Linked DNA regions of Styela clava. The protein of the gene in region 3 binds, or shares a complex with, the protein of the main gene of each other region. Links are inferred from orthologs where the notes say so. Each region holds a gene or a part of one and is shown on either strand. Other genes may lie near its edges. The genes, in order: nuclear pore complex protein Nup85-like, nuclear pore complex protein Nup160-like, E3 SUMO-protein ligase RanBP2-like and nuclear pore complex protein Nup93-like.

Region 1 (7,890 bases), on a different chromosome or scaffold from region 3:
CTGAGCGAGTTAAAATAATAAGCGACCCCGTATGACCATGGGATATGATTCACTTATTTATCCCTTAGGAAAGACGATAAGACGGCTCAGTCATATGACGAACCATGTCATCTCGACCGGTTACCAATCCATTTCGGGTATGGGATTAGATAGCCAGTTGTTGGTTTAAAATGGACTTGACCATAAAAAGCTATCGCTATTTTAAATATTTCATATTATAAAGACTCCGATTTAGGGTCATAAAATGCTTTTAGCGATCATAATGAAGACTGGCAGAGCCTGCACGACCCTGATGTGAAGTTTTTTGGTATATTTTAACGTTAAGTTAAGAGACGCCCCTTTGTACGGAAAAATAAGATAGTCGAAATGCTTGGAAAACCTTCAAAGTTCAAATTGTTTCACTGTATCGTTTGTAGATAATTTTCCTGTGTTTTGAACCTCGTACTTGATTTTTATTTATCATTCTGTTTACGTCTGTTTATTTTAAAGTTTCATTTATATTACATATTGCAATGTTTTATTTATTTTATATTAAAAATTCAAAGAAAAATATTTTCATGTCTGTCATACGATTTTCGCCGCGTTACTCGACGTGGCGGTAGACGTTTAATTTTTTAGAAGATTCATGGGATAGGGCAGGACTACCCAAATTTTTTCATCGAAGATCCCTACATAGAGCTTTAAAATTTCTGGGGCCCAGTCAATTGGTCGGTAGTTTATCTTTTCACATATGCCGAAAAAATGCATTTCAGTGTGAAGGGAGTAGAGTTATGATGAAAAAAGTCATACATAGAATATTAACAAAAGCAGGACTTTGAGGTACATTTGGGCGTCCCGGTGTCAGGTGTCACTCTCGCCAATGGAAGAAAACGACTTCAGTCATGACAGGCGGAGTAACAAGGGTCATTCCAGACAATATATTTCACTTTGCAAACAAAACTTAAATGCATAGTTTAATCACAGGGCTTCAAGCACTAAACATTTTAAATGTACGAGTCGCGCAGAAAAGCGATTTATTGCAAACAACAGTAAGAAAAATTCTAACGAACACATCAATTTTAAGTTGCCAATTGAGTAGCTCCCCGAGGTAGGTATTGATGTTTATCGCGAAGAGATGAAAGTCTATATTGGAAATATTGATTTGACACTAGAAACGCGATTAGGTGCCGAATATCCCTGCTGAAGAAATAATGAGCTTTTTGTCATTAGAAGGTGCAGGGGCGTAGCCAGCAATTTTCAAGGGGGGGTCATGCACTCGACAAGCAACTCACAAATAATTAAGCAAAAACACAATCCTAGGTATGAAATGCGCGTGCTCGAAATCAGCAAATTGGCAATCCATTGCTATATTTGCCCTGAACTAGTAAAAGATCAATAAAACGTCATTCGCTGTAGTATAGGGTTGCCAACTAAGAAAAGTTTCGATAAAGGACATAGATTACCGTCATCATTTATTTTGTATCTTGCAGGAAAGAACAATATAAAACAATTGAATAAAAACGATATATAAGCTGAAAAGATATATTAAAACAAATTTTATGTGTTTTTTTATTTTATGTTTATTTAACAATGACCCAAACAATGTTAATAAAATTGGACAGTTAGCATCTTTTCTAAATGCTAAAAAAGGCAAGGACCAAAAATCTTAATTAAAAGATTGTCCTTTGAAATGAAGGACGGTTGGCAACCCTACTGTAGTATTAGGTATGGGCGCGGCGGTGTGGCTCAACGGGCTAAGCGTTAGGAATACGCTCGCCACCGCACCTCTAATTACTCTGCATGGGTTCGCAGGTTCGAATCCCATGCAGGGATGATTATGTGCGAGAGGATTGCTGGACTCCTCGCCGTCGTTGGGTGGTTCACGTAACCGCTGGTCGGTTACGGCTTCCTCCACCACCAAGTCCATGCTTCCGAAAACAAACAATTTAACTAATCCCATACCCGACTCGGAATGGTAACCGGACGAGAGGTCGTGGTTCGCCATATGGATAAGCGAGAGAGGGAGAGTTTATTTCATTTTCATTTTGTCAAATCAAGAAAACAATTTATGGACACATAAACAATTATCAAAAAAATAGTTTTCGGTATATGACTGAGGGGCAACGATACGACCTTTGGGGGTCATCAGTAAGCCGTCTTATCGGCTTTCCTTTCCCCCGGGATAAATATGTAAATTCTATCCTATCCTATCCTAGGTCGTTCAACGGCCACCGCAATGCCAGCGAAATCGTTTTATTCATTTTCTTTCTTTGGCACATGGAATCCTATGCATTTGTGATGTATTAGCGCCATCTTTTGGCACATTGATTCCGTTGGCGCGCATATCATACTGTTGTGCTTCAGTTTTTCCTTTGGCTTACATATTACGGCTTCCTCAATTTAGTAATTACCGTATATATTCGAGTTGAAAAGTGTAAAATAGAATTGTATAACTTCAATTACACTTTATTTTTGCCGAAAATTCATATTCCTTTTTATATTCGTTTGACAATATTTTTAACAGGACGTCTATACAGCCGTCTTCAGTCATTTATCCATTCTGCGATTTGGCAAACCCAATTTCTACAGGGGTGGTGATTCCTCTACGGCCCATGGGCCGGGGCCACGGCCCATCTAATTGGGCCACATGGGCCGTGGCCCCATCAAGAAAAGTTCAATTATCTTACCAAAATTTTCAATTTTCACAAAATTGTAAATATTCGAACCAAAAAAAAATCGTTGGATGCCACCAATTTTTTTTCTTACGATAAGCCTTCATATAAAAATAAAGCAAAATACCAGGCTACAGAAAAGGATACTCCTGTAGTCTGTGTACCAGGTTAGGGTTAGGACAAAATTTTGTTCAGATTTTCCACATTATAGTTCTATTATGAGTTTGGGGACTTCTGTGTTAGCCAAGTGAATAGTCCCTTTGCACAACTTGATGGGCCGCGGCCCATAGCCTGATGGGCCGAGGCCCAATTCGATGGGCCGTGGCCCCGGCCCATGGGCCGTAGAGGAATCACCACTTCCACTCCCCAATTTTGTGCTGGCTAGATATGTAGATATAGGCCTATGCAGATAGTGATTTTAATATCAGATTTGAGACCTTTTTCAGCATTTCCACCAGTAATATAAATATACCAGAGATCAAACTGTCAAAAGAGTTGCAGAAAAATAAATGCGTTTATCATGCAATAAAAAACCTGAGTTTGTGTCACATATTTTTATGTCTTGCGAGTTTACCCAGAAAATTTATGATTTTGTTTACTTTATTATTGAAATTAATTAGAATACATTTTGTTTGCAATAAATTATGATTCTTGTATATTATTGAATTTTCCTGAACCTTTATATTTAGTCATATAGCCTAACAACTGTAGATTTGAATGTAATTTTACTTTTATTATCAATAGTGCGATATAATGTTTGGATTATGAGAAATTTTATCATATTTGAAAATAAACACCAGATATTGCTCGGGTCTGGTATAGTTTAGTACCACACGCACTTCTAGTTGGCCTGGCTTAACAATTTTTGCATAAGTCAATTCTAACCCTCACCTGACTATATCACCGAAAAATTAGGTCATTTCGAAGTCACAGTGGCGTAATAAGGCCCACCAAAGTATGCGGATAGTCGTCCGAAACGCGTAGACAATCACCCGAAATTGAGCAAGCTATTTCTCTCGTTCTCTCGCCACAACGATCCCAATAAGAGAGAGATCGCGGGCGTTTGCGAGATTGGCGGCGCAGATGCCATTTCGGGCAATCGTAATTATACTTCAGCAAGCCCTATGACGTGATGGTGACGTCGTAGTGACATAATTTTTGGATGGCATAGTCAGGTGGGGGTTAGGAATAACATATGCAAAATTCGTTATGCTACGCCCTCCGGAAGTACTTGTGGTACTAAACTATACTAGACCCTATTGCTCTCCTTACTTCCTTAAAAAGAAGATAAAAATGGCCCTAGTGTAGAGAAAAAATATGTAGTAGACAAGACAAACCCTTTGAATGGAATTACGAAATTTATGTGCAATAATATTAAGCAATAATTTGAATAATAAGTAGGTTTATAATATCGTAAGTTTTTTGCATAATTTGCTAATTTTAACTGAATAAGTATAAATAAAAAAGGCCTCAGATTTGAAATATTGGATTTCTGCCATATTGCCTAACTTCCGGTCTTATGCTTTTCCTCTACCGTTTCAAAATTAAATTATTTTTTCTCGAGGAATCCAATGGTGACGGCTTCCTTCTAGTTTATTACGCGGTGCCAGTTTGCCACGTTGAGTCGATATGCAGGCCCTGACTGTTTCATAAAGAAGGGGTTCACTCTCACTGTTATAATTGCAGAAAGAAATGAGGTCTTCCAATGACAATATGGGGGCTATTCTTGGAATTGTAGAAATGTGCCCTAAATCCAATGCTTTAAGCACACTGCATAAGTCAATCTTCCAGTTGTCTGTACAAGTCTACAGACAGACAGAGGAATAAATGTTATTAAATCCCATCTTAACATTTCAGTCTTGTGCAAATTCTCAGTTAAAAACCAAAATATTTCAGTATTTGTAGTGATTTTAATATCAGATTTAAAAAATAGATTGCTGCCGTATAATTGTTAGCTCGTGGTTTTTCACTACCATTTCTGATTGGTATAAATAAATGTTGAAATATGAAATCCTATTTTACAGTATTATTTTAATTTACATTATGGTTCTTTATATATTTTCAGTTGAAACACTAAAACAATTTTTTGATATTACTATATTGGATTTGGCAATCATAGAAAAACAAGATGGCTGACAATGAGGAATTTGTCAATGAGATGAACATAAACGACAAACTTTTTGATCCGTGTGGGATTTTAAGTAGCTGGGGGGTCGGAAATCAAATGATGGTCGCAGCTGGGGGTGACGTGGGGTCAGAACGACCCAATCAACTTGCTCATTTGCCAATTCTTATACACGAGGTACGCTGGAGTAATGAAATGCATTTAGACATTACTCGGAAGCTTTTGAACGAATCACATCGAATTTTTATCGAAGTGCAAGAAGCGAGAAATGACTTTCAAAAAAGTAGTCAAGGTCAACAGTTACTTGTGAAATTCAGTCGGAAATATCGTTCTGTTTTGCGAGCTTGCGTTCTCGAAATAAAATCTAAAATTGAGGAAAGTATAATGGAGGACGTTCAATTGGTCATGCAATTAGAACTGCTGAGTATGATGGAAATAATCTGGAATTTATGCGAAATACTTTTCATCGAAAATTCCCCGGCGGGAGTTGTATTGTCTCGTCTTGCGGAATGGTGCAAGTTTCATTTCACCCAAGCGGATGATTTTATGGAAGAATGCATTCAAACGGAACAACCATATAATCATGAATTGTACTGGAGCACCATCAAGTGTCTCGTCCTTCAAGGTCGAACGGACGACGCCCAAAACATGTTGAAACTTCACCCAGAGTGCCAGAGTCAAAAAGATAACGCATTTTTAAGTATGGAAGAGTTGCTGCGAAAAATGCCACATTTTACGTACTATCGCGGACAATCAGTCGTCGAATTCGAGATGAAATGGAACCACTGGCAAGAGGAGTGTCGTCGTAGGTTTGACGAAGGAGAGTTTAATGTTAACAAGGAATTACAAGAAATTGCGATGATTTTATGCGGAGAAGACGCTGTTTTTGAGAATCCCGATTATGGCGGATGGCATCAAATGTTGATATCGAGACTACTTTTCACACAACCGACCGTCAGCGTCATGGAGTTACAGCATCATAGTAAAATATCTGTTGAATCGTGCGGTGGACATGAACACCTCGGAGCTTTTGATCATATTTTACTTGCGGCCTTCGAACTCGATCCGTATTCTGTTATTAAAGAATGCAGTCAGCAGTTGAGTAACTGGTGGTTGGCTGCTCATTTATCCGACATTTTTTACCATCTTGGGATTCTGTCGCAAAAGAAATTAGAGTTTGGGGTCGATTTTCATGAACTTTTGATTCTGGAGTACGCAACGAGTCTCATGTCACATGAAAGTCTATGGAGAGTTACGATTGATTATTTGTCAGCATGCTCGGAGAACGAGAATAACTATCTCTCTCTATTTGTGCGAAAAATTCCAATTACAAGCGAGAAAAAAGCTTCAAAATTGTTACGTATTTGCCAAAATCGAGGATTGCTTGCAGAAGCACAAAGTATCTGTCGACAAATGAGTGTATCAGCGCTACAGCGAAATCGTTTGGGCGCTGCTTTATCGTGGTGTTTAAAATGCAATGATTCAGCCTTAACGATGCGAATTGCAGAAAAAATGTTGTCGGAATACGCTCGAACTGGTGAATTCACTCATATCGATTTGCTGGATTATTTAGGACCTTCAATTCTGTTATCAGATCGATTGACGTTTTTAGGAAAATATCGGGATTTTCACAAACTTTACGCCGAAGGCATGCACAAGGAATCTGGGAATCTACTTCTCAACCTACTCATCTCAAATATAGCGCCTGTTGAGTTTTGGCCGTCGCTACTCATTGACTGTCTCCCTCTTCTTGAGTGTGAGGAGATCGTGTTCAACGCTTCAGACTCTGCCAAGTTACTCGCTAAATCAAACACTCTCGACCAAATCAATTTAGACTCAGAATTATCGGACTCTGAGAAAGAAACTCGACAAAAACGACTGGAATTACTTAAACTAAATATGTCAAGGAATTTAGCCAGAGCTATTGTCAATGCGGGGTAAAGAATGTTCAAACCAGGGATGGACAAAGTCGGATTATCTGCTAAAAATATTTAAATAACGAATGTTTTTAAAGTGAGTCGTGTTTAGCAAAGACATTTCGATGAGTTTAATTTGAAAATGCAGGAAAGATTAATGCAGTAATTTTAACTGTTTTCTATTTCCGCATTCCAGGAATAAAACGATGATGCTCCAAATTGTTCAAAATTATAATTTTCCAGAATAAAATATTCTGTTTCACCATCTTTGCTACCAGTGAAATGTTTTTCTCTCATTTTACCATATCTTTCTAATTGAAGAGGGTCAATTGGAACTACCGGTAAGATCTGAAGCCCGATCCGAAATTCGGGTCAGGTCAGGCCTGAAATGTTGATCATTACGTTCGGGTCGGGCTTCTCTATCGCTGACTTTTTTTTGAAATAAATATATGTTTATAAAAAATATATACTAAAACTATGTGTGGAATTCGAAGAACTCCTAAATAAAATATGAAATTTTTGGTTCGATTCGATCTCTGCCTGCAAATCCAGTTAATCAGTCGGGCTCCGGTCAGGTCGGGTTTTATACCCACGGGCCCAGGTGGTATCAGTGGCTCCTTTCCAGGCCCTGTTCATGGTAAAACATTCCATGAAAATTAGTTTCAACTTATTTTTGTGCTTGATTAATCTTTGCAATGTGCTGCCTGTTTTTTGAGAATTGGTAATTCTTTGCTCAATATAATGCTTTGTACTGAATTGTTTCCGTGTTTTGCATGTATGGATGGGGTTGTTCTGGTTTACCCTTGTTCTAAGTTTTTCATCTTATGCAAGATGTACTGTAAAAAGTGGGGCAGAGGAATAACGGACTGGATTGTGACTAGTTATAAGCATTTTTGTGAAATAATGTTGGTTTATTGTGCAAGATAGAAGTCAATGTGGCTCATTAGGACAGCGGAAACACGAGTGGAACGATTTTGTTACTACTCCCAAAATCTAGGCTGTGAGGTCAGATTCTACCTCAACAACCATTTAAAACTGACTTCATAAAAATGTCGACTTCAGCTTATAGTAAATTGATAACGAACAAGCCTTCTCAAATCATCTGTTGCAAATCCCATATCTCAATACAGTGGTCTTCAACCATGGTTCCGCAGGGTTCTTTCTGCCTGTACAGGCGTTCCGCAAGTTTCCATTCAAA
Region 2 (8,345 bases), on a different chromosome or scaffold from region 3:
TCTAATTCTCCATATTGGAATTCGACCAGTGTTTTGTATTTCTTATGTTCACAAAGTGAGACAGCAAGAGTTCTCAAGCAATCTTTTCTATGATCAGGATCTGGGTTTAGTACTATTGCTTTCAGTGCATTACAATGCCGCTGTAGTAGGTTACTCTGTCGAAATATACTCGACCACAAAATGGACACATTCGGATCATGCTCTTGTGATTTTGCAACTTGAATGGCATGTTCTGCCAAAGTAATCACTTGTTCAGGTAAATCTAATCTCTCAAATATCGGTAAAACTTTGGTATAATAGATAATTTCTTGAGCTGCTGGGTGGAAGTTTTCTTCATCTTCTTTCAGCAGTTTGTTAGCGAGATAATCCTCATTGCTAATCCCTGACGATGCCATGATAAAGGATTGAACGGCTTTATCAAAGTTTCCATTATGAAGATGACAGTGCGCTAGCATGTATCTTTGAGACTTTGTGCTCCAGTTGCACCAATCGCCAAGCTCTCGCTGGATGTATCTTTGAAGGACAGTGTAGTGTCCATGAGAGAGCAAAAAATCTAGCAGGGTGAGTGTAGGCCCAAGCGGCCACATAAGGTAAACGACAAAGTTGACAAAATTTGTAACCAATCCTGAATGTAGGATGTGAATACCTTGTCCTTGTTGGTTCTGCAGATATGCTTGTAAGAGCTTACCTCCATCAGATGAAATAAAGAATTCAAGTACGGTTTGGTGTCCTTGCGCAAGTGTGGATTTTGCCTCTCGGTCTATGCTAAGTGTTGAATCATGCACGGATAAAGTTTGCATGGTGCTTTCTAAAGTTGCCTGTGATATGTTTTGTGTTTGAACAGTAGATAACCAGAACATAGCTTGATAAGCTTGCACAAAACTAACAATTCGGAATCCTAATTGAGTGTCTCCTTCTTGTTGTATATGACCATCTTGCCTCTGTAGAGTTTCTAGCAATGAGGAAAGTACATAAAGCAGGATGGAGAGTTGGAAACGATTTTCAACATGTCGCATAATACAACGCGATATAAATTCAACCCCCAGTGACCCTGCTGGCCAAGATTGTAAATCTGGCATATCAAAATCGAATGCAAATTCTGAAGGGCTTAAGCAGAGCGTTAGCATTTTGACAGCAGACGAAACATCATTAATTTTGATGATAAGATTATCCCATGTGTCGTTTCCTGATGATTCTCTTACAGCACCCTGAATATCTGGCATCATATCTTCTATGACATCAGGTGGGGAATTGCCAGCCAAACATAAGCTCTGCTGTATTGACTCTACTAATTCCGCTCCTAAATAACTATGTAATTTTCCAAGGCTTTCCAATAATTGAGCTAAGTCATTGAGATTGGCATCTGTGCAATCGTCCGGCTGTAAAAATGTTCGAAAAATATCCGGATCAGATCCACGGCAAACAGCTTCAAGTGGTGAAACGGGGGCTAATATCATAAGATAACCTTTTTTGATGACGGATACAAGACTCTGTGAAGAACCGTGATTGATTATCAGCCCCAAAGAACGAGACACAACTTGCTGATATTGAATTAGATCTTGATAAAATGAGTTCCACACTGAGACTTGCAAAGCATCCTCATCCATTTCTTCATCCGGAATTATTTCTTGAATCGCATTTTGAATATGTGCGGCAACTCTTTCCTTCAATTCTTGTGGTTGGAGATACGCCATGTTCGATACGTTTGATCTCTGATGAATAGATAACGTTCGAGTCAATGCTACAGGGCTGAATTTACCTGAGCTAAATATGTAATCCATGTAGGCCTCTCCGACATCCTGATATGGAAGAAGTGGAATTTCTAGAACTGGTGATGGGTGTGAAGCGACTTCATGCCATACACCTACATCAGCAGCACACACTGAAATAGAATCTACTTCTTCAGTATCACGCCACAAAGTAAATATTTTATTTGTTTCTGTTAAAAAATAATCAACCAGATGGCGGTGTGGTAGTCCTTGTGGTGAAAGGGAAGCAAAAACAACGGACAAAAAATTAGTTTCCAAAGTACCAGTGCTTGAATCCATTTTCACTTGAAATTGAAGGAATCCTGCTTGATCCGACATACAAATATATAAGCTTATCATTCCAACTTCGTTGACAACTCTTACTTTGAGATCCACAGCTTTCGATTTGTCACCATCATCTTGAAAATGTGCTGATAGGTCATAATTCACAAGCATATCATGGGTTTCAAAAGACCAAAGTCGCAGTTTACGGTCTTTACATGCTGCAACGACGTATGGGTGATTTTCAATCACGAGTATTGCAATATCAGAGATAGTTTCAGTGCCGGCTGCTTCACCCCATGGATTAATACCGGACCATATTCGTGACATCCTTGACGCTTGGTAGATATTTGCAATAGTTGGAGGAGAGCGACTTGTCATGTTAACAAGCGCCATATTGCCTTGATTGGTTTTCAACGCAACAGCAGTGTATGGGTCACCTTTATCCGGAAGCATCGTTCTTACTGACCATTCTGTTACAAGTCCCTGAATTTTTTCGCCAAAATAGAAGTTTTCAAACTCATTTTCAAAATTGAAAGTCGCTAAATTTGAAAGTAAAGATGGATAACTGACCCCTGACTTTGGTCCAGATCGCCCAGTTGACAAAGTATCAATTGACATACGATGAACTGCATGAAGAGTACAACAAGTGATGTATAAGCGATTTTTGAACAGCGATACATCAACTCCAGGTATTATTTTAGTTCCTTCGAAACTGATGATAAAATGTGAAGAAAACAAATCCACATCGAGAGAATATTCAAAAATTTCCAGAGAATTTTTTTGAGTGCGCCAACAAATCACTCTCGTTGAATCTTGCAATTGTAAGGTCACACCACCACCGGATTCAGGAAATGTAACATTCTCGGATGCATCGACTGGACCTTCTCCTTCAGGAACTGAAATTTCTTGAGCAGGTCTTTGCGAAAACTTTGAATGTATAGGAATTTCTTGAAGAAACAAGGCTGGATCCTTTATATCCATGATGTTATATTACAAACACTATCTAAAAGAAAAAATATATAAATCATGGCGTTTACTTTGCAGTGAGTTGCTAGAAAAATAACATGTAGCACCAAATCAACATCACAAATAGTATCAATACATACCGGTAATAGTTGAATAATTAAATGGCAATAGAAGAAAGTATAGAATACTTATCAGGTTATAATCACAAATATAAAGTGTTTTGACATGACACTAATGCATTCCAAATAATAACTTTGACTAATTTTTTTGCATGGGATGATTTTTTGTACAAAAATCAAATTCAAATTTTACATTTGAAATATTAGTAGCTAAGCTAGTCATATTAGTTGGCACCAAATCGATTGGTTTTTTTAATTCTAAAAGGAATTACATTCATTCAAAAGGCAGAGGGTACAGAGTCGGTGAAATGATTGCATAAATTGTTACCCGTCACCCATTTATTCATTTTGTAAATAAATATCTTCAAATATGATGTCAAACCCAAACCACCAAAAAAATTTAAAAAAACAGTTATACAAATATTTCATCTGAAAATTGAGCTGGCCACAATATTGCTGACATTGACAATCATATTTGAAGCAAACCAGACAGTTGGAACATAAGTCACAAAAATCAAATAATTTCCACATTTTTCATAGTTTTGGTCCAGGTTTGGTAGAAAATAATTGCTTTGAGGAATTGTTCAATAAATTAATACTGTAGTTTGAGCCGAAAATCAAAATAACCTTATTAATACCAAGACTGGCGAATAAGGGTACAATTCCAACAAATAGTATTTATAACGATTTTTTATCAACTGCTGTGTTCTTAAAATTGAATTGTTATATAGCGCATTTATGATTCATGTTATGCAAATATACAATACATGCTACATAAATCAAATTGAGTAGCAAACTGAAAGAATACTAAAATACTGACACTCAAATTCAAATCATCAAATAACTTAAGTCGAACCACGATTTTCAAATTGTGATTGAAATGATCAGGTTAGTATTAGAACACTATGACTTCTGAAAACCCGCAAAATATATTCAAATGAATCGGGACCAAAAATCCAAGCCATCCTAACAATGTATTATTTTGGGTATGTTTAAAATTAGCATAGGTACATAAAATTAGCAAAAATGCTATTATGAGTTTAGAAACTATATTTATATGATTCAGGACCATTTAAGGATAAGAATTTCTCAGTGACATTTGAAATCAGTGGGAACTTTACTGTTGTATCATTTCATATATTTCCCCAAACAAAGATTTTTACCAAAATTATTTTTATGGCAAACAAAGACATATTCGGCAACAAAAATATGGCGTATGTGATATTGAGCAAATTATCAAAATTTAACAGATATATATTATTTACAGATACCATTTAACAGCAATATCATTATTAACAAAACGGCTTCGAATTATAGAAAAGCATCATTGATTGACAAGACTAGACAATGCGATACCATTTATCATACAGTCGCCATTGACTGGCACAACATTTTGATCAGACGATTGTTCTTTTCGTTTATTCGAACAATCAGTTACCATTTTATTCAATTCTCCTGCATCATAACCTAGTAATTCTTTCAAATTGCAAACAAATTTATAAACGAAGCGCTTTGAAGGTACTTTACTGATCATATCGCCATCGTAATAATAACGCAGAGCCCGAGAAAGTTTTTCATAATTCATAGTGGGCTTGCCTTTTCTTTCACCCCATTTTTGAGCCACCATTTCGGGTTGTAAAAATTTGAATTCCCCTTCATCTCCCAACCACATTATGACGTGTCGTTCGTCTGCGTCTGTTAAAAGTTCCAACAAAAATTGCCAAAGTTGAATTTGGCCTCCGCTGTTGTGAGAACGTGTACTGATTGGAGCACCTTTGTCTGATGAAATTATAGCCGGCGTTCTTCTTGGAGCCCGCCGTGCGTAATTGCCTGATATGTTCGTTTGTTGATCATTTAGAACTAAATTTAAAGCCATATTTTCAGAATCGTTTTCTATTTCTACATTATGTTCACCATCGTTCGTTGATAATCTTTTCAAAAACGACAAGTGTGACCATAAAATATTTCCATATGGCAGTTTCACAAAAAATTCTTCAATCGTTAATGAACATAATTTCTTTCCATCCATTCTAGAATTTTTAATGACAGAAGCATCTAAATTAAATTCCTTTGCCACCCAGACCATCCAGCGAAATACTTGATCTGATGTCCATTCCATTGGGTCACAAGGAATACCAAGTTCCTCTTTATTTTCTGATGAATCTTCGTTATTAGAATGTCCATTTTCTGAGAGTCCACTTTGTTGACCGTTCAACGCTTGAATGTCTTCATCGGTCATATTTTTCGTAATTTCAACAATAGTCAATCGCCCATTATCAGTTTGTACTCGAATACTGAGTTCGACACTTCCCGAAACCTTTACGCCTTGCTGATACAAACTCAGTTGTGGATTAAGTGGAATATCTTGTAAATAAATTTCATAATCACTCAAATCCGCAGATTGTAAACGATTTTCAACCAATTGCTGAATATTCAATATTTCCACTCCAGTATCCAGTTCAATAGTGATAACAGAATCAGTGTGGGATCCATTATGTAACTTCGCTGGCATCCCAGATTTCCGATTCACTTTTCGTCTTTTTTGTTCCATTTCTATTTAGTTTAGACAAGTGAGATTATTCTATGACTGTATAACATAAAACATTTCAGGAAATTAGCGAAAACCATATCTTTACTGGTAACGTTATATTATTAAGAATAATATTATGCTTGGCATACCGCTACCACTTCACCAAATGATAGTTCATACACAGTATACAGGTATATCAGAACAAACGAATGACCTTCATCGCTAATTCTGTAACTGGTTAGCTAAACGAATACCGGTACCGGTATGGTTTATGCTGGAAACTAGGTGAGAATTGTTGACTGGCCAATTCGTCCCAGTTCTATCACAACATAATTTTTCCTATTCTTAAGATATTTATATCTACATACTGGTATTCTACTATTAATCTACCGTATATACGTATACGCAGATATGAATAGTAAATAAACAGATGAATAAAACTGCTGAACTAGAGTTCAAAAAAACTTCAAAATTTGGGTGAGCGAACACGTACTACTTCTTTTATCAATACCTTTCCATCTAAAATCTGTACGTTTCAAACCTTACTCGGGGTTTAGTTCGCTCTCCCGATTCTATAATCAGTTACTTTTATCTTATTATTTCTGATTATGGAGTCGAAATAAACTTATAACCTAAATATATACTTTTACTTATTTTCGAATAATATTAGAATGTTGAATTTTTTTTTAAATGGATCCACAATGTGGATTATTCAAGAAGTAAACAATCGATAAATTAAGTATAAATAAAGACATATTGTGTACCACAAGTGAACAAACATTAAGAACATATATATCAGTAATATCAAAATAATTCCATTAGATATAAGAAGTTAGCCATGCTTAACCCAACAAGAGAGATATGCTCAAATATATGGACACGTTTGAAGTAAATGAAAGTAATATCCTTCTAAAGAAAATTTTTATCTTCATGCACTGAAAATTTCAGAGCAATACATACATTGGTCCAGGAATTAAAGAGAAAAGCGACTTTATAGGATTAGGTAACAAGTGGACGTGGCTTTCCACACGTTTTCTCACCACTGAGGAGGCGGAGGCACTGCCTCCACCCCTAATGCCACTTCCCAAAAAATTCCCGTTACCCGGGCAAACGGTCTCTAAACGCCAAAACAGCTCGTGTGACTAGATCGATGACTTGATTGACAGGTAGCCTACTCCGGGCCACTAAAAGCCTGTTTTGTCCCACTTTCAATGTGAATTGAAATACTAAGTGATTTAAATCACTTATCCATTACGGTACCAGAGCAAAATAAAAATAAATATCGATTCCCCGATAATCATATGCGGTAACTAACCAGTACCTGAAATTCGTTCGAAGAACGGTTCTTCCTTGTCATATAAGAACTCAATTTATTTCCTCTTATCAAATAAAAAAAAAATAAGGTAGGCAACAAAATTTATGTTGTTTACATCAGAACTGTAACGAAAAGCTGAGAGCGTAATTCACTGCGGTACCTTACCAGTACTGCAGGGGTCTGGTATAGTTTAGTACCACATCCACTTCTAGTTGGCCTGGCTCATCAATTTTTGCATATGTCAATCCTAACCCCCACCTGACTACGTCACCGAAAAATTACGTCATTCCTACATCACAGTGGCGCAATAAGGCCCACCGAAGTATGCGGATGGTCGTCCAAAGCACGCAGACAATCACCAGAAATCGAGCAAGCTATTTCTCTCGTTTTCTCGTCGCAACGATCACGATAGGAGAAAGATCGCGTTATCGGCGGCGCATATGCTATTTTGGGCGATCGTAATTATACTTTGGCAATCCCTATGACGTGATGGTGACGTCGTAGTGACGTAATTTTTGGATGGCATAGTCAGGTGGGGGGTTAGGAATAAGATATCGTCACGCTAATAACCGAATTGCGTAAGTCATTTTTAGCAGTTTTGAGAAAAACGTAAAAAACTTTCTAATGATATTGTTATGTCATTGAGAGTCAATAATTTGTCATGGTTCAATATTTTGATCGTAGCTGGATTTAAGTTAATTTGTATGACGCAGTTAAATGACGTCATAATGGCGCACTGTGACTTGGGCAGAAATGTGACTGTGACTTGGGGACATACGCAATTTTGGGGGCTCCTGAAGTATGCGAACCAAGTTGGCGGACATCGGAATGTAATATGTGTACTAGGTTAGGGTTAGGCCATAATTTTAGGTACAAATACTACGAGAGGCACTTGGCTAGTCTTTGAACTCATAGTAGGACTAAAATCGATCGATGTTGTTGTAGGACTATCATCGATCACCATTTGCTATTCCAGACAAACACCTATTAAAAGCAGAAAACCTTATGACATGTTTCCTCGATGTACGCTTCAATAATATCATTGGCGTAGTTGAACCGCCCAAACCTGGAACTTTGCTGAGTCTGAAAAAGTCTAGAGTTTGGTAAACGGGACGCGTGTAGAGCGCAACTCCTGGAATTCCTTTAGGGCAAGGTTTCCCATCCCGAGTCCGCGGTCTCAAATGAGTCCGCAACGAGCCAGAAATTCACTGCGGGCTGCAAACGTTTTTGCGAAACTCAACTATCAGCCCAATAATACGTTGGAATTTACATAAAACATGAAAGGCAAGTTTATCCACATAGCATTATTCGAGTCAATAATTACTGCTTAATGAGTAGGACTGGGCATATATTCGAATATTAAACTATTAGAATAGCAATTT
Region 3 (7,920 bases):
TATACAGCTGAAACAGGTAAACTACGGCCCGCAGGACAAATTCGGCCAATTCATTCTGGCCCGCCTGATGCTGCCACAGACAAACTAAACCAAATTTTGATGTTCAAGTGGAAAAATAGCTCAAGGAATTTGTTGAGATTACGACTAACTTTAGTTTTGGCACAAGCCTAATGTTTTCTACTTTTGCAAAACTGTTAATATTGTTCATAAAATTTAACTTGTTACGTCACACTTACATGGCCCGTGAGTGAGTGAGTGAGATTTGTTACCCGTAATACCAACAAGTACATTAATAATAAGCCGAATAGATAGGAATGAAACCACAAACATTGTTCAGATGCAATTCCTAACAATTCATTCGACAGTATTTTTCTAGCTTCATACCTTGCATGTATCAACCAGACATTGGTTCCATTCCATATCCTTTTCCACAACTTTCGGTATTGAATAGTCATGTTCTATTTTTTCCACGAAAGCAAAAGCTTCATTTAGTCTTTCTTGATTCTGAGAAGCAAATTTAATAATTCAGTAATTTCTTTATCAAACATAGAAAACATTTTTTGCCACACACCTTCAAAAAAGTAACGTATTCAACATAAAGTGACGGATCATTTGGCCGCTTCTTCAGTTCTTGAAGAATAGTCTCTTCGAGTCTGGAAGAAGGAGCTTCTTGTGCAAGATATAGTTCCATCTAAAATAGAAAGTCATTGAAATAAGTGTAGCCAAGTTACAACAATGGCAGTAGTCCACAATATATCACATGAGATATACCTACTCAAAGTGATAATTGGAAAAATGTGAATTAATTAACAAAATAACAATATTATTCATTTTTATATATCAAATTTTAGTTTGATCATTCATAGGACATGGGATAAACTTTTGAGCGGTGTACCGAAATATTTATTCTAACGTTCATTATGATTGTAAAACAGTTTTTTACAATTGAATTAGATACATTTTCTGACGCACAAAAACATGTAGAAAACGTAACTGTTATCTAAAACGTTCATACCTTTAGTTTGTAGACTTGTGGATGATTAGGTAAAGCAACTGCCGCTTTATCCAACCAAACTTGTGCTCGATTTGGATTCTGTGTTGGTCCAGGATTAATGTGCATTTCTGCTACCTTCAACATCAGCTCGTACTGAAATATAACAAAGAAGTCCATGACATAATTGAACATATCAGTGTTTTTCTCTTTGTGCTCCTTTGCAGGTGACAAGTTATGAACACTGGTTTTGATTAGGGATAATGATATAATCACTCTTTTTTTCAATCCCTGGAGTCCCAATCCATCAGGAGTCCCAGTGCATCTTGAAATATTGCTAAAATCCGGAACCGTATATTAGCAGTTTTTGCTAGAAATACTGGTATATTATATCGTTAATAACAGTGATCAAATATTCAAAACACAAAACTTATTTTACAGCAATGGGACAGATAGATATTTTTTATATTTGAAAATTTTCAATAATTCATTCAAGAAGTATTCTATTTTGTCATTAGTTGATTATTGAAAACAAGAATAAACTCATTAAAACAAAAATAATGATCAGATACATTTCAGAAATGCATAACAAGTATAAGCAATGAAGGATAAAAGTTTGTTTTATTCGTGGTATTGATTCAAGTATGGGACAAGGAAAAGTGATCAACCAAATTCACTGATCAATAACTTTGGACAAACGTGACTGTATAAATGAACAAGCTGAAACTAAATTTCGAAAATTATCATTGTATTACTAATATTACATGCCACCATACAGTTGCTTGCTTGATATCAAATTTCTGATATGATAAGACACTGAAACTAAATTCAGATAAGCAAATGGTATAATGAATCAATGCTTGAATATAGAGTTCAGGTCGAGGTAGACTTATGAACTACCGGTAACTACTGTAATTATTTCCTTGGTGGAATTGATGGAACTTTCATTAACAGTTCCATTTAAAACTGAAGCAACAAGCCAATAAGTAGACAACAAAAGTTCAAAAGAAAATACACACCTGCTGTGGTTTGACCCGCAGTGAGCTTTTGTAACAAGCAAGAGCGGCATCGCTTCTGTCTAATTTTTCATAAATTTCGCCAAGTAGTTTGTGAGCTTTTGCATCCTTGTCATAAATAACAAGATATCTAGTAATCCATTTTGAAGCTTTCTCATATTCCCCAACCTCATTCCACCATCGACCAAAATTGAGCCCCTTTATGGAAAGCTGGAAAATGATAAATAAAAAGCATGATTTACAACTTATTAATGACAGTGTTGAGTGATTGGGTTCCTTCTCTGAGTAAATGTACAAACTTCAGAAAATTTCACTTATAGCATAATCGTTTAACAGACACCAATCGAAATGAAACAAGTCGATAGGCGCCCAGGATAACCGTTGATGCATTCATTTTGAGTGGTGCACGTCTTGTTGGTATCTTTTTCATCAGCGATATACTGCGGCGTATAATTAATCACGTTCACTAAAATTTATATTTTCAAGGTAGTTTACGAAATAATGGCGACAAATTAAGAAAGATCTAGTAATTTCTCAATGATTATCACGTTTTTCACTGATGCCATGGAAATAAAACAACAATCCGGACTTTCGGTGAAAAGCATATTACTAGGGTGACTGCATAACCCACTTTAGAAATTTTACCCGGTTGGGTCCGGAAGTTTAGACAGCTACTGCTATACAGACAGAACAATTGAGAATAAGGGTCTCCTAATGCGGAGATCCAATATATCTGATGAACAATCATAATTTGTGTTATTGCAATATGATAATTACACACTGTCTGATTCCGTCGGTTCCCTAAGAATTAGGAAAATCTAGAAAAAAACAATTCCCTCACATTTTTACAATGCAACTTCTAAAATAGATGTAATGCACTAATACAACAAGGTAAACTACTTACTTCTTTTTCAGATTTTGCATATCTCACTGCTTTTGATACAAGCGCTTCAACTTGTTCAATTGATCTTGACATTAGTAGTGGTAAATTTAAATTTAATGTAGTTTAGATACAACTAATAAAATAAGAATTTACATCATCAAAAGCCAATCAAGGTATAGTGAATCATCATTATGCTTCAGCCAAATTAAATAATTGATGAATACTGCAATGCTTTATTGCACTATTTTTTTTTGACACTTGATATGTATTGTCAAAAATATATCTATAAAAAAACAACCTTATGGTGGTATTGTAACAACCTTATGGTGGTATTCTATTATCCAAACAGATAAAACAGTATTTGGTTGATTTTATACACAATAGATAGTGATTAGGGTTATTCAGGCTATTTACATTAAAGAAAACAAACAGATCTGATAGTAAAATCAATAAATCAAACAAGTATCAACATTGCCCCCTATATATATTTCGGATTAGCGGCATGTATATCTACGACTGAGGACTTCAGCCTCCTGAGCTCCCGGTCTCGGGGAAAAAAAGTCCAATGCAAATAGAAATAAATACTCGCACTAAGAGATTTTCGCCATACATAACAGTATGCTAGTTTAAATTTAAGTAAATAAAACTTAATAAATCTTGTATACAACAAAAAATGACATGAAGATAATTTTAATAATACGCAGTTTACAAATTTTATAAATTGGACAAAAACACTGCATTTTCCTTTTCATGACGATAATGAAGTCATTCAAATTGATTTAACTCAAACAAGAATTTAAAAGTAATTAGCACAGGATACAAGACAGCATATGAAGCAACCTGATTAAACTTATGTCTTATAGTATAATCAGGCTATGCATAAAGTATGAAAGCCCATCAAAAATCACTGAGCACATTCACTAGCAAGTTTATTCCCAAGGTTTACTTCACGATCTACACTTTTCGCATTTATTATTATAATAATTACGGTAGTCAATTTTTATAAGCTATATTTTAATAACCTTGAAGAGGGAAAAATCTTGGAAATATTGCTGTGAAATCTTACAGTGGGATGTATCTCTACCAAGAAAATTCAGAAGTGAAATGGTTGAAGACTGGATTGCATGAAATCGAAAGATATATTGTTTTAAATTGAGCAAAATACATTATATGAGCAACAGAAAAGACCGACTAAAAAATAAAAGGTATTCATATTTTCAATATGAAATAAATAATGAAAATTTGATCTGATAATGAAATTTAAAGCTACACTAATATAAGAAAGAAGATCTATCGATTAGCACGTTTTTTCATGATCCAAAAAAATATAGAAGGAAACAAATATCGGAGCCAAACTACTAGTCTTAATTTTAAAGTCGCAATTGAAACTTCTTCTTGATTATTGCGGATCGCGCTTACAACTTGTTTCGCAATATTACAAGGCTCCATTCCACTTTCAGTAGTGGCATCCATTTTACCGTAATTGGTACCATCCCCAGTCATGGCATTTAGAGACAAACTTGTTTTAACATATCCAGGATAAACAGAGCAGACATTTATTCCAAAACGTGCCACTTCGGAACGCAAACAAGAAAAAAATGCTGTGCATGCAAATTTAGATGCACTGTATGCTGATCGATGTGGAATTGATATTTGTCCCTGTATACTGTTTATAGACAAAATGTGAGCTTTGTATTTTTCACAACTATGTGGCAACTTAATCATACTAGGTAAAAGACGTGTTGTCAAGGAGACATGCCCAAAGTAATTTGTTTCCATCAACTTTTTGTGAACATCCATGGAAGTACTCAGAATGTTACCACGATATGACATCCCAGCATTGTTAATTAATATATGAATTCCGTCAGGAAATTTACGATTCACTGAATCAACAGCATCCTGGATGCTCTGTTCATTTGAAATATCTAGAGGAATCACGCAAGGTTCAGGCCTATCTTCACAATTGTTCATATTAATCAACTCATTTTTTAATTCTTCCAATTTGTCTACATTCCTGGAACATAAAATCACTTGACAACCAGCTTTAAAAAATTCTTTAGCACATTCTTTTCCAATACCAGAACTCGCCCCCGTTATAACAACCACTTTGTCACTTCCCAATGAAGTGAATTGGCGGAAGGCATATTTTAAAGAAAATAAAGCAGCAGGTGCTATTAGTGCAGCTAAATATAAAGCAGTCTCATATGACAGGTCCATCTCTCGACCCGTATTAAAAAAAACTGTAAAATGGAATTTGGATAACGTAAATGTAAATGCCAACAGGTGAGAGCCTATAACAGGCAGCCTGTGTTCAAAAATATTAGAAAACAAAAAAAATATATCAGTATATTGAAATACTCTAAGCCTGACATGTGCAAACTACGGACCGTGAGCCAAATCCGGCTTGTTTGGTGATACAATCTGGCCACCTGATGCTGACATAAATTTCTACTTGCTTTACCCAATTCTGCGTAAGTTGTATTTTAGTTTGCTACAGACTTTCATTCAATAATGAAACGTTAACAAAACTTTACGTTTTCTCGCTCACTCGATTTCATGACATGCTTTTCGCACTTTTTTCTTTCTCTTCGTGCACTTGTTGTTGGCCACAGCCCATCGAATTGGGCCTCGGCCCATCAGGCTATGGGCCGCGGCCCATCAAGTTGTGTAAAGAAACTATTCACTTGGCTAACACAGACAGTCCCCGAACTCATAATAGAACTATAATGTAAAAAATCTGAATTTTTTTGTCCTAACCCTAACCTGGAACACATACTACAGGAGTATATTTTTTTGGTTCGAATATTGACAGTTTGGTAAAAATTAAAAATTTTGTTAAGATAATCGATTTTTTCCTGATGGGGCCGCGGCCCATCAAGCTATGGGCCACGGCCCATGTGACCCAATTAGATGGGCCGTGGCCCCGGCCCATAGGCCGTAGAGGAGTCACCACTCCTGTAGGATTTCATGACATGCTTTTCACACTTTTTTCTTTCTCTTCGTGCACTTGTTGTGTGCGATCATGGGAAAACATGAGGAACAGACATATATCTCAAAGTGTCTGGTGGAACAGACAACCTAAAACTGCCTTGGAATGAAATTACAAATACTGAAATAGGACTACAAATAGATCTCCAAACTTAAATGAAAAAACGTCCGTTTGCTCAAACAAATTCTGAAATTCATGATACTGTGATAAGATGAAACTAGGAAGCCCGTAGACGGATGTAATTTTCTTGCACTGCATCATCCATTATTAAGACGATTTGTGCAGCTCAATAATGTTGTGAAGGCAATAGTAAAGAAGAAATCGATCAACAAGATTTGCTTTATCATTGCCAGGTATGTTGGTTAAGTTAGGGAAAAGCGTGTTAACATGTTTGGGATATTAAAGAGGCCATTACAGCATTAGGTAATAATTGAAGCTAATTGGGAAAAATTAGAAGAAAAAAATCAGCTTCCTCTCCCAAAAGAGGGGTGTCTGATCATCTGTAAAATGGGTGTCTCTGGAACGAGACAATGTCGCTCGATCTGTATAGTGTGCCATACGGTAATGCTGGTAATGCTGTAGTGATTTTTATTATCACCAAATAGCAACTATGAATTTTGGTGATATGGCAGGCTAATGGCTGAATGGCCATGGCCGATGCACATCTGCACATCTGCACATCGCGATTGATCTTATTGATACAGGTAAGCTATATGTTATTAGGCTACAGTTTTAATGCTGTAATGCAGTAATGTGACAAGTATTACCATCTAGTTAACACATTCAGGTATTTCATGCATTTGTCAGATTTATAGTCATACCGGTATCAGGTGCTCTCGTTCACGAGACAAATGTCAGAATGTGTTTATTGTATGATATGGATCCAACTGTCCAACAAGATATCTCGTAATCGGCTGAGCGGAGGACTGTACAGCCCAGTTTAATAAATTTAAGTAGGCCCTACCGTAATTTTGTTTTTGGTACCGGTATTCTTTCTCATGTTTTAAACTTGGAAGTTTTACTCGCTCTATAGAATTCTCTATTTTTAATCTGTACCGCTGTACCGGTACCGTACTGTATTAATGTGGAATTTTCAAAATAAATTACCGGAACTGGGACCGGTATGGCTGTATGGCGGTATCTATCTTTCAGTCTTTCTATTTTCTCCCAAACCGATCGCAACACAGTACCGGTATGGCGGTATCTATCTTTCAGTCTTTCTATTTTCTCCCAAACCGATCGTAACACAGTACTGTTACCGTTACCGGTAAGGTAACACTGTACGGTACCGGTAACAGGTGTATATTATCATAATAATATTATGCTAATAATAGCCAAAGATCAGAACCGCATACACCTGGTACCGTTTTATGATTTCAGTTGAACTATTGATATACACCTGGCTCATTTCAGCCATTGGCAGATTGGCGATTGGCCACATTGGACATAGAGAAACTCTCGCGCCATTATGACAAGGGGAACAGGTTGTTTCCCCGACCCTTGACCCTGGAATATTTTTACTATGTAATTTCTCATTTTTTTGGACTTTGTTATATCTCTGTGGCCACACATACCGGTACCTTTGGATGGCTGAACACGAAGCACTTGTGTTATGTAAAAACCCTCCAGCTCACACGTATTATGTAGCACGCATAGGTCATAAACTGTACTTATGGTTTAGTTTGCTACCTTGATTCTATAATCAGTTTTTATTATTTATTTGACCTTTTTTTTACTTGCGGGGCCCGTTTTATGCTGATCATGGATTCGAAATAAACTCATACCTACCGTAAATAACAAAAACAACAATATCTTATGAATCAAGTTAATGAAGCACATACAAATTCGAGTTCATGGCTACAATTCGCTAAATTGTTACATTTTTGAGACAAATAAACATACATACCGGTACACAGTGGCGGCGCGTCAATAGGGCCAACCGGGGCAATGCCCCGGTTGTTTTTTCGGTATAATAAAAAATATTCGAAAAATACCTCAATATCGGTTGCACAGACTGTCTACACTAGCCATATTCTCCCGA
Region 4 (7,359 bases), on a different chromosome or scaffold from region 3:
AAAGCAAATATACACAGACTAGCATTAGCACTTATTTGTTGCCAAGCGTCAATGTTTACAATGTAAATTTTGATATCAGTGTGATTGTACCAAGTTGATCAAAATGGATAGTGTTTGGCATTCAAGCAACATACCTTATGCTTACAGGCCAAAATTAATAAAAGCCATACATTCTGTGATAATATTTTTGAATGTGGAATATCATATTCAGCAGAGAAATTTGCAGAAATCATGGTAAATTGATAGTGTCAGATGTCAAATACCCAAATTGACAAATATCCAAATGAAAATATTCTGATACCTCTTAAGTCATACATTTGCCAACCCATTTCGAATGGTCTCGAATATTCAATCGATTTTGGACATTTCAGTGTACTTATAATATGTCCTCTCACATCATATCAACCTCAATTTGCACTAGTTTTGATGTGATATCTCCAGGTAACTGGTATGGAAGCATTCCAGCAAAAGTCAGTAAAGCACTTGCGTAAGAACGTGTCGCCCCAACTTCTAAGATTTTATTGCTTTGCAGAGCCTTTTTCTGAGATGCTAACATGTTCATCGTAGCTAGCAGAATTTCCCCAATGTTTTGACGAACTTCCTCGGAAAACGCAGAAAAATTTCTCACCCTGTCTTGAACTTGCTCAGGCTTAGTTGGCAAGATATGAAGTTGATTTATAATATCCATTGCGGTGTCGTAACGACGAAGGTGATACTGGTCAAAAAAGGTCAGGAGGTCAAGCAGAACGTAAAACGTGGAACTCAGATCCTGTGAAAGCTCAACGGCAAGTGAGCGATATCTCTGAGCAATTGAAACAGCAAGATCTTTGATACGAACTCGGTCAGAATGGGCACGGTCGGCAGACGGTAGTAGAGGACACATAAGCCTATTTAGAAGCGTAATAACATTATCATAATTTCCACATAGGTCATACAATCGGATGGCATCTTCAAAGAGACCTTTGGCTTCCGTATCTGCAGCGACTTTTGCAATCAATTCCTTTGTGTCACCAGCACAATATCTATCCACTAATCCAGGGCGCCGGCTACCATCAGGATTCAAACCCCCTAAAAGCATCGAGAATTCGCCTGTTTCACGAATCAGCTCGCTCGTACATTGCAAGAAGAGACTCTCATTTTCATGTCTCTCATCTCTGAGAAAGTACAAGTAATTTAACGCCTCTCTTGGGTCAGTCAACTCAAATTTCCGAGTGTACATCATTAACAATCTTGGTAAATTTAGTCGTTGTACATTCGTGAATTGAGATTGGTCAGATGGCTTGGAACTGATCAACCCGTCATGTAGATTGGTTGCTTTCACCAATAGATTTGCTTCGTGAAGCGCTAGTGCTACATGCAATGCATGGCATCGTAAACTCGGAAATCGAGACAAAAATTCAATCGCTGCTTCAAATTGGTAAGTCAAAAACAATACTTGGAAATACAGTAGAGGGTTTGAAGTAGCGTTGAAGTGGGATTCTCCATAATCGGAGAGAAGTTTTTGAAGCGTTAGCAAGGTCAAAACTTCGGATTGCGTTGAAGAGGACTTTTCAACGACAACTTGACATAACTTTACCCATAAATAGTCATCAGTTGTTCCAGCGATTTCTGTATGTGACTCCATAAAATCGCAATGACCGAGAATACAAAATATAGCGATTGCATATGGATTTCCAGCATTTCGAATTGATCTTTTGTATTGTAATAATAATTTATTTTCAGAAGTTGGAGACAAAGTACGATCTTTAGCATACTCGTTAATCCAACCTGAAAGCTCTGGGAAAGTCCCATCCAAAGATTGCGCAACTTCACAAGCAGCTTCGAGATCTCCGCATCGAAGACAAAAATACAAAATCGCCCAATCGATATTTCTGTATTCATGAACTTGATGCGGAGGCTTTACCTTCAAAAAACTTTTAACAAGATTGATAGTGCCTGGTCGTCCACCAAGTTGTGCCACATGAGGGCGCTGATGCACACATTTCATCATGTAATCTCTGTACATGTCTTCTAAATAACTTCGAGCTTGGCCAACGACAGAAGAGATTACATTTTTTGACAATCTTCTTGCAAGGACAGATTTGTCCGCTACAGATATTTCAGCATTCAGGACATATTTCACCATATTCCATAGCGAAATAATATTTTCATCTCGTATTTTTTCAGCCGTTATTTGACACAAATCTACGAAATTTGGTCGAATCGATCCAGATAATACTTTTTCATTATAGATGTAAACTTGTTGTGCATAACCAACTTCCCAAGTATCCATAGCACTCCGAGAAACCGAACGAGAAGTATTGTAGTCATCAACTACTCTTCCAGCTTCAGAAAATTCTTGGGTGAAATTCAAAGTTCCATCGCTGCCAATAAGCTTCCCAAGTATACTCTGCTTTTGTTTTTCCCACTCACTCATTCTAGATTGCCAATAATATTTTTCAACAGCTTGAAAAGCCTTACTTTTTTGTTCTTCTAGAACAGCAAGTATAGCATTTTCTCGTTCATTTCGAAGAAAGCCTTCAATATCAGTATCACATACTGGTTCCAATGGCTCTAAGGTCTGTGCAGCTGATGTTAACGTCCTCAGTCTATCAGAAATTTGCGGAATTTCATGCCCACGTCTACTAAGAAGCAATGAAGCCCTGACTTCTGCATTATCATGGGTTGCTGGGGTTCCAGAACAGAGTCTTTGTCCAGCGTCCAAAATTTGTTGAAGGTTACGCTGGACTCTTGGTAACTCGTTACCACCATCAAGATCCGCTGTCAGTCGTTCTGCTTGTTGTAAAATATCGTCAAGTTCAACACCAGACATGATTTTAGGTTGAATATTAATTACTATAATCTAAAACTTTATATTGGAAATGACTTACGGTAACTTATGTCAAAAAGTGTTTCATTGGAAAATCAGTGCACTGTAGGCTAGTCTACTATGATATCAACAATTTAAACACAGCTCAGCAGTTAAATAAACATTGGAATTAATAGCACGTGCCGGTACGGTACCGGTTTCGGTTCTGCGATAAGTCTGTAGCCAGGTAGTCTACCGGTAAGTGGTACAGAGGTTGAACAACAACAAAAGCACAATAAGCAAGAATTCTCCAACTTTGTTGTGTACGGTACCGGTACTCCGGAATATTCAAAGTAAACTATCTAAATATATATATTATAGCAAAAAAACCTGCATCTACATAACGCCTAAATAAAAAATGTATCCTAAACTGAAACATATTACTCACAAAACAGCAAAATATTGCCGAACGCGTCCACGTCGCAGAGCTTTGCCTTATTCCTGTTAGTTATTGTGTCTTGTGACAAATAAATTTTTTTTAATCAGCCATGTAGATTCACCGGTAGTGGGAGTCAGAGTATAGCTGTTGTCTGTCCTGATTTTGGGCGGGATTACAGAACTTAGAAAATCAAAGTTTAGTTAATCTTATATCAGCCGAAAAACTGGGATAATTTTATGAATAATAAATTACAAGATACTAAATTCATAACTGCGCTGTTTAAACGTTTGACACTATTATTTTACCGTTTATGCGTTCGTTGCAAAATTGTTTTTTACAATACAATGTAAGGGCCCATTCACATCTGTTCACACCAGTGCGTTATTCTTTAATTGTTTAAGTAAACTTGCGTTGTTGCGTTAACGCATCATTTTGGCGCACTGCGTCAACGCAACGAATTCTCGAGGAAACATTCCTTTGCGTTGACGCGCTGCGTTGTCTGAGATTTGAGTTGAGTTCCGGTGCTTTGTTCTGTGGTTTGGCGATGGCTTTGAGCAAACATCAAAAATTGGGATTACTGTTGTGGCTGAAAAGACGCAAGGATAAAAAAAAAAATAGATGCAAAAGAAGAAGGTGGTGGGTGCATCCTATTTTGCAGAGAAGAGAGACTAGAGGTACGGTACCAGTATTGCAGTATTTTCACAGTACAGCAGTAGGTAGGCCTACCGTACCCCCAGACTGGATTCCATGGCAGGTGCACGCCCGAGGGCGCTAGCGCTCCGCAAAAATGCACGCGAGCGAAATCAATTTTGCACGCCGAAAATTTGCAATTGCTCACCAATGTAAATCGGTTTAAATGGTTTTAAAATCAATAATCCAGTAATATAAAGATGCCAAAATATTATAACTCCACAATTGTCGACAAATACCAGCCTGCAAGATTTGGTCTGATCGAAATATTGCGAAGCAAAAAGACCATGGACCTTTCCCCAACCTTTGACTAGGCTTGCACGTAATTTACGGATTTACGGAATTACGTAATTATTTTGAGTTACGGAAGGGAAGTTACGAATTCCGTAAAGTCGTAATTATTGCATTGAAACGAGCTTTCTTCAAAGCAGTCAATTTCGTCGATTGCGAAAAATGAAAGCTCAACAAGTAGAAGTTAGAGTTCCGGTATTCGCAGCCGTTTTTCTCTCTCTTGTTACGTAGGTGAAGGAGGGCATGACGCGTTGCCATTCACTAACCTATTATCAACTTCTCTGGCATGGCCAATGTAAATTATTAACGTAGTTAAGGGGGAAGAACTGAGTAGGGCCGTTTGACGCCAACACACCTGGTTTTAACTTCTCCCGTAACTTAACCGTAGATAAAAGATAGAATTGCGTTGAGACCGATTGACGCTAACACACCTGGTTTTAACTTCTCCCGTAACTTAACCGTAGATAGGGGATAGAATTGCGTTAAGACCGTTTGACGCCAACACACCTGGTTTTAACTTCTCCCGTAACTTAACCGTAGATAAGGGATAGAATTGCGTTAAGACCGATTGACGCCAACACACCTGGTTTCAACTTCTCTCGCATCTTATCTAGCATGGCCATGGCCAATGTACATAATAACCGTAGATAGGGGGAAGAATTGTGTTAAGACCGATGGACGCTAACACGCCCGGTTTCAACTTCTTCGGGTGAAATGACTAATGAACGCAGGAGATCAATCTTTCAAACATGGTCTATCAAACATTTGTATCCATTTTACTTTTATTTATTATTTACTTGTTCCAGTTTTCCGTTACTTATGGTATATATGTTCCGTTTCTATTTCATTTTATTTTATAGTCACGCGTTTAAATAGTGGGAATTCCCCACCAAGTGTGGATTAGCAATGCTTAACCATTCTTTAATGTTAATATCAACACTTGATATATGAACATGGAATATCATACTGTTTTTGGCTGTTTTATTTCATACTTGGGTATAAACAGGAAAATATCCATAACCTTTCAACACGACGATTTTGTGAAATTTAACGAAGAGCTTTCGCGACGAATTGGAACCAAATAAGCCAAAAGAGCGATTGATCACTCGCGCCAATACCTCGCCGTGATAATTAATGTCGCGCTTATCAAATAGCAATATGACGACAAAAGAGAGATTGCGTAATGAACCAACGCAACTTCGTCTTCTCGGCATCGGTAAAGCGATTGAGACGGCAGAGAAACAGCAAAACGACGGATTCCTCGCGGACCGCAAAAAAATTTAACTGCTATCATATATAATCAAATATGAGCCAGTGTGTTTATTCTGTGCGAGATCCATTTTCTATTACAAAATCTTGATGTTCTGTTAACGGTTTTATCGTTATATATCAGTCCGGACTTGGTCTTGCGCATGATGTTTTTCACAATTCCTCTCAATATTTCGGCCATGTATGATTAACTGTCTTACCAAATGCGGCAACTTATTTTGATTTATCGTCTACTTGAATACCAAGGCACTCGACCAAACTTGTGTCAATCTTGGCCGATAGGATCGCCGACTTGAGTTAGCAAATTAATGTCGTGAGTGTAAAATAAATGTCACAAAATGCATTGTTTTGCGATATAACTTTTGTATTTTCGGAGAAGGCATATCATATAAGTTCGATATTTAAACTATACTCAAATAAATAATATTTAATCTAAATTTATCGCAAATAATGTTTTAAACATTCAGTCCGCGAAATGATTAAATGTAAAATGAAGCATGGTAATCGGAATATCGTCAATAAGTCGACATCAATAATTATTATTATAAAATGCTAACAAGGCAGTAATGTCGGATAATGCAGAAGACGCTGCAAAAACAAGTCTTCGTCGCGAGGAAATCGCAAGTATAATCAAATGAGTGAATACGCTCGTCGTTGGTTAATAAATTAGAAACCCTTAATTTTTATTCAGTACTAAGGTGGTTTTAAAAAACTATCGTTTCCATAAATAACCGTATACCAGTGTCGGTAATGATAAAATAAAATTGATCGCATAAAAATGGGACGGTTAATTTGCGAAGGTGATAAAGGAAATCAAAGCTAACACAAAAGATAAAAATCAGAATAAAATTAATTTGAATTCACTCCTTGATATTTGTCTTTAACATCTGCCGATGGCGTGTAGTACTGCCAAGAATATGAAAACCCAACTTCAATGTCCCATTCGGAAAAGAAGTGGATTCAATTGGTTGTTATGATAGGTTTAAATGCGTGGAAAAATATCACAATTACGGGGTCATTACGTAATTGATTTTGCCGTAATTACGGAATTGATTTTTGTCAATTACGTGCAAGCCTACGGCTTTGACCCGCGAAAAATTCCTCTCATTGTTACGTCCTTTTTTGCATCTTGCTGATTGGCCAATGTCACGAAGTAAACAAGGAAGTCGATGCTCGGGGAAAGGTCCATATCGTGTTGAATGATAGGAAATAGGAATCCCGTGAGAATAGTTATGGACGAAAAGATCGCCTCCGCACTAATGGCCAAGTACGGCTCTGATTCAGCGTATTTTTCATACAATAATTTTACACGAATGTACTGAACAGTACCGGTATCTAAAGTTGCTCAAACACTCCCAAAATTAGTGACAAAGTATGAAAATAATGTTTGGGGTCAAAGGTCAAACGTCCATTTTGCTCTAATTTGACATATTTTTTATCCATTAATTCTAGGTAAAAACACTACCAAAATTAATGACAAAGTATGTCCATTTTGCTCTGGTTCAACGTATTTTTTATCCAATAATTTTACGCGGATGTACTGAACAGTACCGGTATCCAAAGTCGCACAAACACTCTCAAAATTAGCGACAAACTGTAGAAATAATGTTTGGGGTCAAAGGTCAAACGTCCATTTTTTCTCTGATTCAACGTATTTTTTATCCGATACCGGTAATTTTACGCGGATGTATTGAGAGGTATCTGATGTCAAAGTCAGTTGCACGCGAGTGCAGTTGTTTTGCACGTCGTGAGCTATAATTGCACGCCAGTAATTCTTATTTGCACGCGGGAATTTCTGATTGCACGCCCGATTTCTCGTTCAAAAAGGCCATGAAATCCAGACTGGCCGTACCCCAGTACGGTACCGTACGTACGGTACGTA

Evidence for each region.
Region 1: E3 SUMO-protein ligase RanBP2-like (region 3) and nuclear pore complex protein Nup85-like share a complex: the UniProt entries of both Homo sapiens proteins name them as parts of the nuclear pore complex. The link is inferred for Styela clava from reciprocal best matches to the Homo sapiens genes RANBP2 and NUP85.
Region 2: E3 SUMO-protein ligase RanBP2-like (region 3) and nuclear pore complex protein Nup160-like share a complex: the UniProt entries of both Homo sapiens proteins name them as parts of the nuclear pore complex. The link is inferred for Styela clava from reciprocal best matches to the Homo sapiens genes RANBP2 and NUP160.
Region 4: E3 SUMO-protein ligase RanBP2-like (region 3) and nuclear pore complex protein Nup93-like share a complex: the UniProt entries of both Homo sapiens proteins name them as parts of the nuclear pore complex. The link is inferred for Styela clava from reciprocal best matches to the Homo sapiens genes RANBP2 and NUP93.

The regions. Positions count from the first base shown.
Region 1 is NC_135263.1:560,405-568,294, reverse strand, and holds nuclear pore complex protein Nup85-like, read left to right. Parts: upstream 1-4,685; 5' UTR 4,686-4,779; coding exon 4,780-6,717; 3' UTR 6,718-7,448; downstream 7,449-7,890. UniProt on the Homo sapiens protein: Essential component of the nuclear pore complex (NPC) that seems to be required for NPC assembly and maintenance. As part of the NPC Nup107-160 subcomplex plays a role in RNA export and in tethering NUP96/Nup98 and NUP153 to the nucleus.
Region 2 is NC_135250.1:6,156,756-6,165,100, forward strand, and holds the start of nuclear pore complex protein Nup160-like, read right to left. Parts: upstream 3,037-8,345; 5' UTR 3,015-3,036; coding exon 1-3,014. Other genes in the region: GA-binding protein alpha chain-like, read right to left, coding at 4,443-5,669. UniProt on the Homo sapiens protein: Functions as a component of the nuclear pore complex (NPC). Involved in poly(A)+ RNA transport.
Region 3 is NC_135258.1:17,858,383-17,866,302, forward strand, and holds the start of E3 SUMO-protein ligase RanBP2-like, read right to left. Parts: upstream 3,026-7,920; 5' UTR 2,984-3,025; coding exon 2,912-2,983; intron 2,218-2,911; coding exon 2,011-2,217; intron 1,148-2,010; coding exon 1,016-1,147; intron 692-1,015; coding exon 572-691; intron 505-571; coding exon 385-504; intron 1-384. Other genes in the region: dehydrogenase/reductase SDR family protein 7-like, read right to left, coding at 4,181-5,107. UniProt on the Homo sapiens protein: E3 SUMO-protein ligase which facilitates SUMO1 and SUMO2 conjugation by UBE2I. Involved in transport factor (Ran-GTP, karyopherin)-mediated protein import via the F-G repeat-containing domain which acts as a docking site for substrates.
Region 4 is NC_135264.1:9,869,639-9,876,997, reverse strand, and holds the start of nuclear pore complex protein Nup93-like, read right to left. Parts: upstream 3,027-7,359; 5' UTR 2,813-3,026; coding exon 392-2,812; 3' UTR 1-391. UniProt on the Homo sapiens protein: Plays a role in the nuclear pore complex (NPC) assembly and/or maintenance. May anchor nucleoporins, but not NUP153 and TPR, to the NPC. During renal development, regulates podocyte migration and proliferation through SMAD4 signaling.